Linked DNA regions of Arabidopsis thaliana. The protein of the gene in region 1 interacts with the protein of each later gene in a biochemical or structural test. Each region holds a gene or a part of one and is shown in the gene's direction. Other genes may lie near its edges.

The links.
Region 2: the proteins of RLK (region 1) and AT2G16250 form a complex in vitro, tested with the Arabidopsis thaliana proteins (one large-scale study listed by BioGRID).
Region 3: the proteins of RLK (region 1) and AT5G51560 form a complex in vitro, tested with the Arabidopsis thaliana proteins (one large-scale study listed by BioGRID).

What each region holds. Positions count from the first base shown.
Region 1 is NC_003076.8:26,843,688-26,847,447, reverse strand, and holds the start of RLK (receptor-like kinase), read left to right. Parts: upstream 1-2,153; 5' UTR 2,154-2,321; coding exon 2,322-3,760.
Region 2 is NC_003071.7:7,041,294-7,045,053, reverse strand, and holds the start of AT2G16250 (Leucine-rich repeat protein kinase family protein), read left to right. Parts: upstream 1-1,699; 5' UTR 1,700-2,120; coding exon 2,121-3,760.
Region 3 is NC_003076.8:20,943,593-20,947,352, forward strand, and holds the start of AT5G51560 (Leucine-rich repeat protein kinase family protein), read left to right. Parts: upstream 1-2,083; 5' UTR 2,084-2,214; coding exon 2,215-2,653; intron 2,654-3,228; coding exon 3,229-3,489; intron 3,490-3,596; coding exon 3,597-3,760.

The sequences.
Region 1 (3,760 bases):
AAGCTTTTGTCTTTTGAAAAGCTCATTAAGTAATTAAATAATCATATGACCCATTTCACTTAATCATTCTAATCATATGTCGTTGTTAAAAGCCACTAGATAGTAGCTTACTACCAGAAATGGCTTCGACATGTTCACTTCAAAGAATCAAACAATCTAAATATTATTGGCATAATCAAATACTCTAGGAACTATAACAATTTTCTTGACCGTTATTTTCTCGAATAAAATCATCATATATTTGTGGAGGAAAAGAAAGAATGTATAAAGTCATAACAGATATCATATAATATATCCAAAAACACCCGACCGATCAAGTGACAATGCGCAGTGTTGTATTATTATATTATCACTGTTTGAAAAATTGTCGAACTCAGGATTGGTTTATAACTTTGCAAGACGATAATAACTTTGGAGTTTTGCATAATGGTAAGTAGAAAACGCCATTTTTCATGCATCTCCCGTCTTTGTCCACCGCCAAACTAGTAGCCATCCTCTAATTAATAATGTATTACTACAGCTTTGTATATATTCGTATTGGAGTTTACAGACTAATCACATAGTGGTTACGTTTAGGAAGATAAAACATACAGAAATGGTAAATAGCTTGTGAACCTGAATCTCGAAACTTACCTTGTCCAATTTGTAACATGAATGTCGACTATAAGTAAATTTGCTCTGACAATTTACAGTCAAACTCAACTATGAGTCTATAATATCACTGTAGTGGGTATTGTTCACACACAACGATTAATACTGTAATTAATGCTGAAACTTGGACTACACGACACTCATATGTTTTATTGTTTCACACACAGCAGAAGAAATAATTGGATTTTTTTTCGGTCCAGTGATTGCACTGGTTTGCAGAAAAATTCTTAAACGATAAATAAACCATGTTCATCTCATGATTACTTAATCGTTTGAGAAACCGTGACATATGGTGGTAACAAACAAAAACAAACAAATACCAACCGGTAAAACATATATACAGTATTTTATACATAAACAATTTTGTGATTTTGGCAATCAAATAACAAGGACCACAATGACGCTCGCGAAATTTAATTAAAACGGGGACCAATTTTAATCAATTTGACCCGGTGTACATTAATCTTGACATGCATTTATTTACGTGTGATGTTGACCTCTTGGTAGATACAGTACTACATTTATATATTTTTGATGCAACACATAACTGTTTAGTGTTTTTGATATTTCCTTTTTTTATCAGTCTAACTCTCGTGAGTCGTGAGTCGTGAGTTGTGAGTCGTGATCCATTGGGATTATTACTACGTAGTACATGTTAAACTACATATATAAGGATTCCATAAATATGAATCAAATCGAATTCTTCTTATATAACTAAGACATTAAATGTCTACTTGCACTTCATTAAAAAGAATCTTCTGATTTTATTTTTGGTATATGCAAAATTATAACTGCATTTAAAACAGAGATTAGATCATGAAACGAATATTATTTCTGAAAAAGTAGGTATATCTAGTAATGTTAATTTATTTTTTGCTAAGGATATCTAGTAATATTTTATATGAAACACTTGTTTTTATTTATGTGTTTTGCGCATAAAGTCAATATTATAACGAATCACTAGATTAGTTTTATTTTTATCTTATAGATTAGTTTAATAAGCCTATATCTATAAGATGTACTATGATCAGAGAAACATTAGGTGTAATGAGAAAACAATAATAAAACGGTCATATATAAGTAAATCCAAGTCAGTGAGAGACCTGCAAAAATTTCGAACTTTTTGTGAATGTCTTATAGCAAAGATACTATTCTCCCATCTGATCATGTTTCCATAGATATTAGTTAATTGGCTAATAATACAATTCTTCACACACATCACATGATCGATATGCGTAATCTCACGTCACAATTTCCGTCATAATCAAAAGGAGTAACAGAATTAGTATATTATATAGTTTCTGTGATCTAGCAAAGATTTAAATGTAAACAAAACTATCCAGATTTATATGGTTTTGTTACGTTTCTTTGAAGATCAATGTAAACAATGATGAACCAATATTAGGGTCCACGTTGAATATAAACGTGAAAAACGACAAAGCGACGTCAGCATAATTTACGAATAGGAAAACAGTGTTAACTTTTGTTATCACATTCCGTGCAATTTACATAGGATATAGAATTTTTTATTTACAAAAGTTATATTTATAAAGAATTACTCAAATCAAGAATTCCATAAAAAGATAAACACTTTCATATATCGTTCACAATCACATGGCCTTTTCAAAAAATCAATCTTTTAGTTCTCTATCGATGCGTAGGCTTGAAGCATGATGACGACAGTCGCCGCCGATCTCCACCGTTATCTTTTCCTGATTACCGTTTTTCTTTTCTTCCTCTGCGACAAAACCTCTCTTGCTCTGACCACAGACGGTGTTCTTCTTCTCTCTTTCCGTTACTCAATCGTTGACGATCCTCTTTACGTTTTTCGGAGCTGGAGATTCGACGACGAGACTCCTTGCTCTTGGCGTGGTGTCACGTGCGATGCATCTTCCCGGCACGTGACTGTTCTGTCACTTCCAAGCTCGAACCTTACCGGCACACTACCTTCAAATTTGGGTTCACTCAATTCACTTCAAAGACTTGATCTTTCCAACAATTCCATCAATGGGTCTTTCCCGGTTTCGCTTCTCAACGCGACGGAGCTTCGATTTCTTGATCTGTCCGATAATCACATCTCCGGTGCACTACCGGCGAGTTTTGGCGCGCTTTCGAACCTCCAAGTGTTGAATCTCTCCGATAATTCCTTCGTCGGCGAATTACCGAACACATTAGGATGGAACCGGAACTTAACGGAGATTTCACTTCAGAAAAACTATTTATCCGGCGGGATTCCGGGAGGTTTTAAGTCGACGGAGTATCTTGATCTCTCGTCAAATTTGATCAAAGGCTCGTTGCCGTCACATTTCAGAGGGAATCGTCTACGCTATTTCAACGCTTCGTACAACAGAATCTCCGGCGAGATTCCGTCAGGTTTCGCCGACGAAATCCCGGAAGACGCCACCGTTGATCTCTCATTCAACCAACTTACAGGTCAAATCCCGGGTTTTCGGGTTCTCGATAACCAAGAATCCAACTCTTTCTCCGGTAACCCGGGTCTCTGCGGATCCGACCATGCAAAACACCCTTGTCGTGACGGTGAAGCAACCTCTCCACCTCCATCGCCGACTCCAAATTCTCCTCCTGCATTAGCTGCTATACCAAATACTATTGGCTTAACCAATCACCCAATTAGCTCCAAAACCGGTCCGAAATCAAAATGGGATCATAAACCGGTGCTTATCATTGGCATTGTTGTCGGTGACTTAGCCGGTTTAGCAATCCTCGGGATTGTGTTTTTCTACATTTACCAGTCGAGAAAACGGAAGACCGTAACGGCTACGTCAAAATGGTCCACGTCATCAACAGATTCCAAGGTCTCAAAATGGTACTGTTTACGCAAATCCGTTTACGTTGACGGTGACTGCGAAGAAGAAGAAGAGGAATCTGAGACATCGGAATCCGAATCCGACGAAGAGAACCCGGTCGGACCAAATCGACGGTCAGGATTAGACGATCAAGAAAAAAAGGGAACGTTAGTGAATCTCGATTCAGAGAAAGAGCTTGAAATCGAAACGCTTCTCAAAGCATCAGCTTATATTTTGGGAGCCACCGGTTCGAGCATAATGTATAAAGCGGTGCTTCAAGACGGAACAGCTGTGGCGGTTCG
Region 2 (3,760 bases), on another chromosome or scaffold:
AAACTTCACCAAACTCGTTGAAACACCTCTCTATAGACTGTTCATCGGTGGCCCAAGCTAAACCTCCGACGAAGCATCGATACTCGTTGTCTGCATAAGCCACGTCCAAAGATTTGAGGAAGATGATGACGACGACGGTTCTATATAGAAGCGCGAAACCATGGTTACGTTGATTCGGTGCTTAACATGCATTCAGAAATATGATTAGAACTGTGACCAAAACACTCTCTTGGACGCATGATTTGTGCCACGTCACCAGAATCGAAATAATCTTGCTCTGATCCGATGGTTTAGATTTGACGGCTTATTTTGTATGTGTGGGGTCTCACGAAGAGGACATGTGTTAGTTATATGATCTTGAACTGGAAAACACAGATACAAACAACATTTGTACTTTCGGACACGTTGGATTTATTTAATAGCGATGCGGGATATGTAACAAAAATTAGGTAGTGATGTAAATTTGTTATCCGACGAAAGATGAATAGTTCATTGCTTTTTCTTCCCGAACAAATATCCTCAATTATGACTTAACTAGCTCGAGGTTAGAGAAAACTTTTCTATGGAAATAACAGTAATTGGAACGATTAATAAAATCATATACGCAACTGTAGCATATGAAAATTAATAAACAGTTTAAGAAAATTTCACATCACTTGTTCATATATTTTGAGAAAACTTTTGAGAAATTTTTAGCTCAAGAAAAATTCATCTCTATTAATGTCTACTTAATCACTATTTTCTAAATAAACCATAGTGAGACTTTGAACTAACATAATCATTCATTTTTCAAGTAAAATTAAATAAAAAAACTAAATATTTTCATTCGATTGGCATTGTTTAAATTGAACATTCTACAATAGAGAATTTGTTTCTATCAATTTTAAACTAAACATATATCAAATTTTTGGATCATATCAAAAAAGCTAGAAAATTCAATATCATTGTTTTTTAAAAAGAATACTTCAACATCTTTACAAAATCCTATAACCGATAAATATTTCATCCAATATTTTGAAAGAAAGTTGCCAACATTTCACATGTTTTTCTAGTTGATAATTTTCTATTGTACTGTATATGATTATATGTTGTAATAAATTGTTTAAAATGCAAATGATTACAGCGGTTGAGACGGACAAATACTATGCAGATTAAACCGCTTTTAATTTACCAATCATAAATTAGAATCTATAATAATATATACTAAGAAAACTGCCGTAAACCAATCATAAACCATTTTTACATACAAATAAGATTGATCCACAACGATTTATTATCTACTTGAAAATAAAACACACTTATATTATCGATGAATTTATCTATTCTGATTGCCGTTACCATTCGAACCAAAAAATTCAGAGTATTTAGAAAATTTTAGCAAGAAAAGAAAAAGATTCCTTTATTCGGCCAAGAATGGTGAATATAGGACGTGAGATATATTACTCCTTATATATCCGAACATTAAATTTACAACAATAATAAAACAGGAAAGAAGGAAAGAAAAAATCCCAAATAGTAATTGCGGCAACAGCTTAGCTGGCTTATGGCGGGATTACCGGGAAAGTCAAACCAAACATTAAAACGACGTCACTTTACCCCACACTAGGTTTTAATTTAATCTAATTTCAAAATTATTAATTAATCAGATTTGTAATTAATAATAAATTAATTTCGAAGTTTCTTGCAAAGACGAGAGAGAGAGGAGTGTCACAGTCTACAGTTGTTATCTCAACAATCTCGATCTTCTTCTTCTTCTTCTTTCTTTCTCTCTCTAAAGATTTTTTTCACTCAACAAATCACTTTTTGTTTTGTCTGATTTTAAGGATTAGTGAAAAATTTCTACTTTTTCTTCTCATAAATTAGGATTTAGAGAGAGAGAGAGAAAGAGAAAGAGAGGTGCTTTAATGTCTGTGAAGGTAGGAGCTGTAATTGGATCCAGTAACAGAGCAAACCCAGTTCGATATCTGTCTCTTTCTTCCTCTCTAAAGATCGAAAGACGTTATTTTTATTAGGGTTGTTGAATTGGGTATTTTGCTTAAATCCTGAAAAAAATAGTCTCTGTCTCTCTCTGGGTTTGGGTGATGAGTGTTGATGGGTCATTGGATTGAGTTTGATAAGCAATGGTTGATCAAAGAAGAAGCGCATTGGGTTTTGTCTTGTTGTTGTTGTGTTTGGTACTGTTCTTCGACTGTGTTGTTGTTGGTCAAACACAGAGTCGATTCAGTGAGAAACTCATTTTGCTTAATCTCAGGTCTTCTTTAGGGTTAAGAGGAACAGATTGGCCAATTAAAGGTGACCCTTGTGTTGATTGGAGAGGTATACAATGTGAGAATGGTAGTATCATTGGGATCAATATCTCTGGGTTTAGGAGAACAAGAATTGGTAAGCTAAACCCACAATTCTCTGTTGATCCTCTTCGTAATCTAACTCGTTTGTCGTATTTTAACGCGTCCGGGTTAGCGTTACCGGGGACTATACCTGAGTGGTTTGGTGTTAGTTTGTTGGCATTGGAAGTATTGGATCTTAGTTCGTGTTCTGTTAACGGTGTTGTTCCTTTTACTCTTGGTAATCTCACTAGTTTAAGAACTTTGAATCTGTCTCAGAACAGTCTTACTAGTTTAGTTCCTAGCAGTTTAGGACAGTTGTTGAATCTATCACAGCTTGATCTCTCTAGGAACTCATTCACTGGTGTTCTTCCTCAATCTTTTAGCTCTCTGAAGAATCTGTTGACTCTTGATGTTTCTTCCAATTACCTTACTGGACCTATCCCTCCTGGTTTAGGAGCGTTATCAAAGCTTATCCATCTGAACTTTTCAAGCAATAGTTTCTCGTCTCCGATTCCTTCAGAGCTTGGTGATCTTGTCAATCTGGTTGACTTTGATCTCAGCATCAATTCATTGTCTGGTTCAGTTCCTCAGGAGCTAAGAAAGTTAAGTAAGTTGCAGCTAATGGCGATTGGCGATAACCTTTTGAGTGGTACTTTACCAGTAGATTTGTTTAGTGCTGAGAGCCAACTGCAAACTTTAGTTTTGAGGGAAAATGGTTTCTCTGGTAGTCTACCTGATGTGTGCTGGTCGTTGCCAAAATTGCGGATTCTTGACATTGCTAAGAACAACTTCACAGGACTGCTGCCATATTCTAGTTATGATTCAGACCAGATAGCTGAAATGGTTGATATCTCTTCGAACACATTCTATGGAGAGCTCACACCGATTCTTAGACGGTTCAGGATAATGGACCTCTCTGGTAATTATTTCGAAGGTAAGCTTCCTGATTATGTGACCGGGGAAAATGTGTCTGTTACAAGCAATTGCCTTCGAAATGAGAGGAGACAGAAGCCGTCAGCAATATGTGCAGCATTCTATAAGTCTAGAGGATTAGATTTTGATGATTTCGGACGTCCTAATTTGACACAACCGACATCGAAAAATGCTTCTTCAGGGATAAGCCGCAGAACAGTAATTATATTGGCAGCAGTGGGTGGTGGAGTTGCTTTTATTCTTCTTTTTGTTATCTTGCCAATTATTCTGGTTCTATGCATGCGCCATAGACGCAGAGCGGCACAAAGAGGAAATAACGACAGGCCAAAACCTGCCGGGGAAGCTTCACAACAACCACCTAAAGGAGCACAAACCTTTGATTTGTCACGTCTTGGAAATGCATTTTCTTATGAGCAGCTTCTTCAGGCAACAGAGGAATTCAATGATGCTAATCTGATAAAACGTGGTCATTCGGGGAATCTGTTTCGTGGTTTCTTGGA
Region 3 (3,760 bases), 5.9 Mb from region 1:
TTCTTTTGTAGACTTTAGTGGTGAATTTAATTATTTTGTAAGGTGCGATGACTTTCTTGACAGTGGAAATTTTTTCACGTTTTCACAAACATGCATGATTGTTTATTTTCAGTTCGATGATTAGTGACCTGTATTTTAAGTGACAGTGAACAGGAATCTCGTTTTTCACCACAGTTAATTGGGATGCGATTCTTGTTATCTAAGTTAGAATCGTGGATGCGATGATGAAGTTTGTATTTTCTATTGATATTGTTTTACCCAAACCCAAGAGTCGAGAATGAATTTTTATGTCGTTGCTATTTATTCTGAACTTATGTCGTAAATGTTGGGATCAATAATTTAAGGTGACCGAGTCGTGACCCACATGAGTGTCGAGTGATTATTACAGCTTCGGTGAAAACGAGTGAAAAGTGAAAACGCAAACATTATTTTTAGGATCTTCTCTTTTGCTCACGAAGAATTGTAGTACTATTAGATAATCTCATAATCCTGAATGAGTGTTTTTAGTGGGATCACAATCCGAAATGACTATTTAAGCGTTAAGATTCAAAACAACTTCACATATATATAACCTTCAATGACTTCAATTTAATATATAGTTTGAAATTTAGTGTGAAAATCAAAATAATCGAACCTCGTTAATATTTTTAGTTTCATTCATGTTAAGTAATTCAAGCCAATTTTCCTTTTATAGTTTCTCTGCATGCAAATTTATATTTAAAGTGCGTGCATGTTGCATCACTTCAGTAATATGGTAGAATGCAAATTCGTTAACCGTCTCTATAGTTCATGACTTCATGATAGCATAAGAGATAAAATGAATTCAGGGATTTATGTGTAATCATTAAGGAATGAGAAAGTCACATAAAGCATGTAAAATAATTTTTGGGTCGTTATTTTTTTTTACTACGATGAATCTCTGCTCTCTTTTATATATTTTAGTCATGACTGAATAATGACAGGCAATTTTAATAATTTAAGATAAGTATGCGGTATGCCATGATCGGTAGACGGTAGCTCAATACAATTCCGACACAGAAACTAGTTTTTTTTTGGGTATTTGATAATGGGCCTTTTAGCAATTTTCTAAAGCCCAAATTTATTATTCTTGCTTCACGCAATATTGTTTAAAGCCCAATTTAGAGAACATGATTTCCATTCCGAATTCGTCGCCCAGTCACTTATTAGATTAATAGATTGCATTGCATTGCTTGTGCTTTCAATTTACAAATTGTCTCCCAACTCCATCGACACATCTCTTTTTGTGTATATAAGATTCAGACTTGTTATATTTTTTTTATAAATATGTTATTAGCATCTTAAGTTAAATTGATTTTTTATATCTGCATTAAGGATTACACGACTATATTTGCGATTGTGTGTTGGTTAAAATATAATTTAGGATTGTCTTTAACTACATTTAGGATTATATGACTATATTTGGTTAAATATAAAATCTAGCTGTGATTATTAGTATTCAAAAATAAGTAGCCTAACCAATTAAAACAACGGCTATTGGGGCAAATTAGAACATTTTAGTGTGTCCAAAATATAATGGTCATTAGGTCATATTCCTCCTAGCTTCATCGCAGCATAATTGAATGATTGCCTTATTTAGAAGAGCTTTTCCACTTTCCCAAAATCTATGTGGGATCTTTTTGTTTTGACCTTCATTTTTCTTGTTTACCATTTTTAGCTAAATTATTTACGATTACAAAAGATATCAAAAGTTGGATCATAATACAATTTATAGACTTACTGTAGAAAATTCGTATGTACAAGTACAACAAATTCTTCATAATAAATTTTGAAAATTCTATTACAAATGTTGTAAGAAATAGAATTTGAAATATATATAAACTAAGGAGAAAAAAAAAGAGAACATGCATTGCTCTAGTCAGAGTGGACCAACATCAACGAGATAAGATAACATAAAAACCAACTCACCATAACTAAAAACATCCCAAGAGATCCAACGATTCATATCAAACACAAAAACATCGAACGATCAGATTTAAACCATCTCTGGTATCTCCAAAACACAAACACTTTTTTTTTTCTTTTGTCTGAATGGAACAAAAGCATGCGACATCTCTGTGTCTTTATCTTCTCTCTCCTCTTCTTGAAAAACTGAACCTTTAATTCTTTCTTCACATCTCCTTTAGCTTTCTGAAGCTGCTATCTTCAAGCTCAAAACCAAACCCTAGAAATAAAATGACGGCGACACAAATGCTGCTTCATCTTCTTCTTCTTCCACTTCTCTTCCTTCACTTCAGCAACCAAGTCATGGCAGAAATCACCGACGAGTTAGCGACATTGATGGAGGTTAAAACAGAGCTTGACCCAGAAGACAAACACTTAGCTTCATGGAGTGTTAATGGAGATCTGTGTAAAGACTTTGAAGGTGTTGGTTGTGACTGGAAAGGACGAGTTTCTAACATATCTCTACAAGGGAAAGGCTTATCTGGTAAAATCTCTCCGAACATTGGAAAGCTTAAACATTTGACGGGTTTGTTCTTGCACTACAATGCTCTTGTTGGAGATATTCCTAGAGAACTTGGTAACTTGTCGGAACTTACGGATCTTTATCTCAATGTTAATAATCTCTCCGGTGAGATTCCTTCAAACATTGGGAAGATGCAAGGCTTGCAAGGTTAGTTCTTTTTTACTTTAATTTTAATCTTAATCATTGATTAAACTTAAAACCTAAATTTAGCATTGTTAGATCTTTGGTTTCTGCAAAATTCTTGTCCCAAGATTAATCAATGTTCTGTGGAGATTTGAAACCTAGAAATCTGAGCTCCTTGTCTTAGGGGTTTTAGTTACTTCATTACTATCTCTGGTAGTTGAAATTATTTGAATTAGATGATTTTGGAATTTAATGCTTTAATGATCTGTCTTTAAAACGTCCTTTTCATGTCTTTTTGTTAGGATTTTTCTTTTTGTAATTTTCCTGTAAGGAAGAATAGTCAAGAACTTTTTAAGATTCAAACTTTTAATTGGAACCATAAATGGCTTACTGGTCCCAAAATATGGACTTGAATTGAAGATAACTTGTACTTCTCTTGATTAATTTTGTTTATTTAGATAATTGATTCACTTACTTTCAAAAGGCTTTATATTTGAGCTTTAATTAGCAGGACCAGGTTTCTAAATCTAGAATTAGTTCTAAGTTAATGTAAGTCAAAGCTAAGCTTCATTCCTTTTTTGGTCTATGTTGTTGTGTAGTTTTGCAGCTCTGTTACAACAATTTGACTGGAAGCATTCCTAGGGAGCTTAGTTCACTGAGGAAGCTGAGTGTTCTTGCTCTTCAATCTAACAAACTCACTGGAGCTATACCTGCGAGTTTAGGAGATTTAAGTGCTCTAGAGCGGCTAGATTTGAGCTACAATCATTTGTTTGGTTCTGTACCAGGCAAGTTAGCTAGCCCTCCTCTGCTTCGAGTTCTCGACATCCGCAACAACTCCCTCACTGGCAATGTACCTCCTGGTTAGAAAACTGATTCACTATATGATCTTTGAAACTAACTTTGCGTATTTTGTGAAGTGTTTCTCATTTTGGTTTATATTTCTTTCTCTGTTGTACCGATTTGACAGTACTGAAGAGATTAAATGAAGGTTTTTCGTTTGAAAACAACTTGGGACTATGTGGAGCTGAGTTCTCGCCGTTGAAATCTTGCAATGGCACAGCTCCTGAGGAACCTAAGCCATACGGTGCAACCGTGTTTGGTTTTCCATCCCGGGATATACCAGAATCAGCT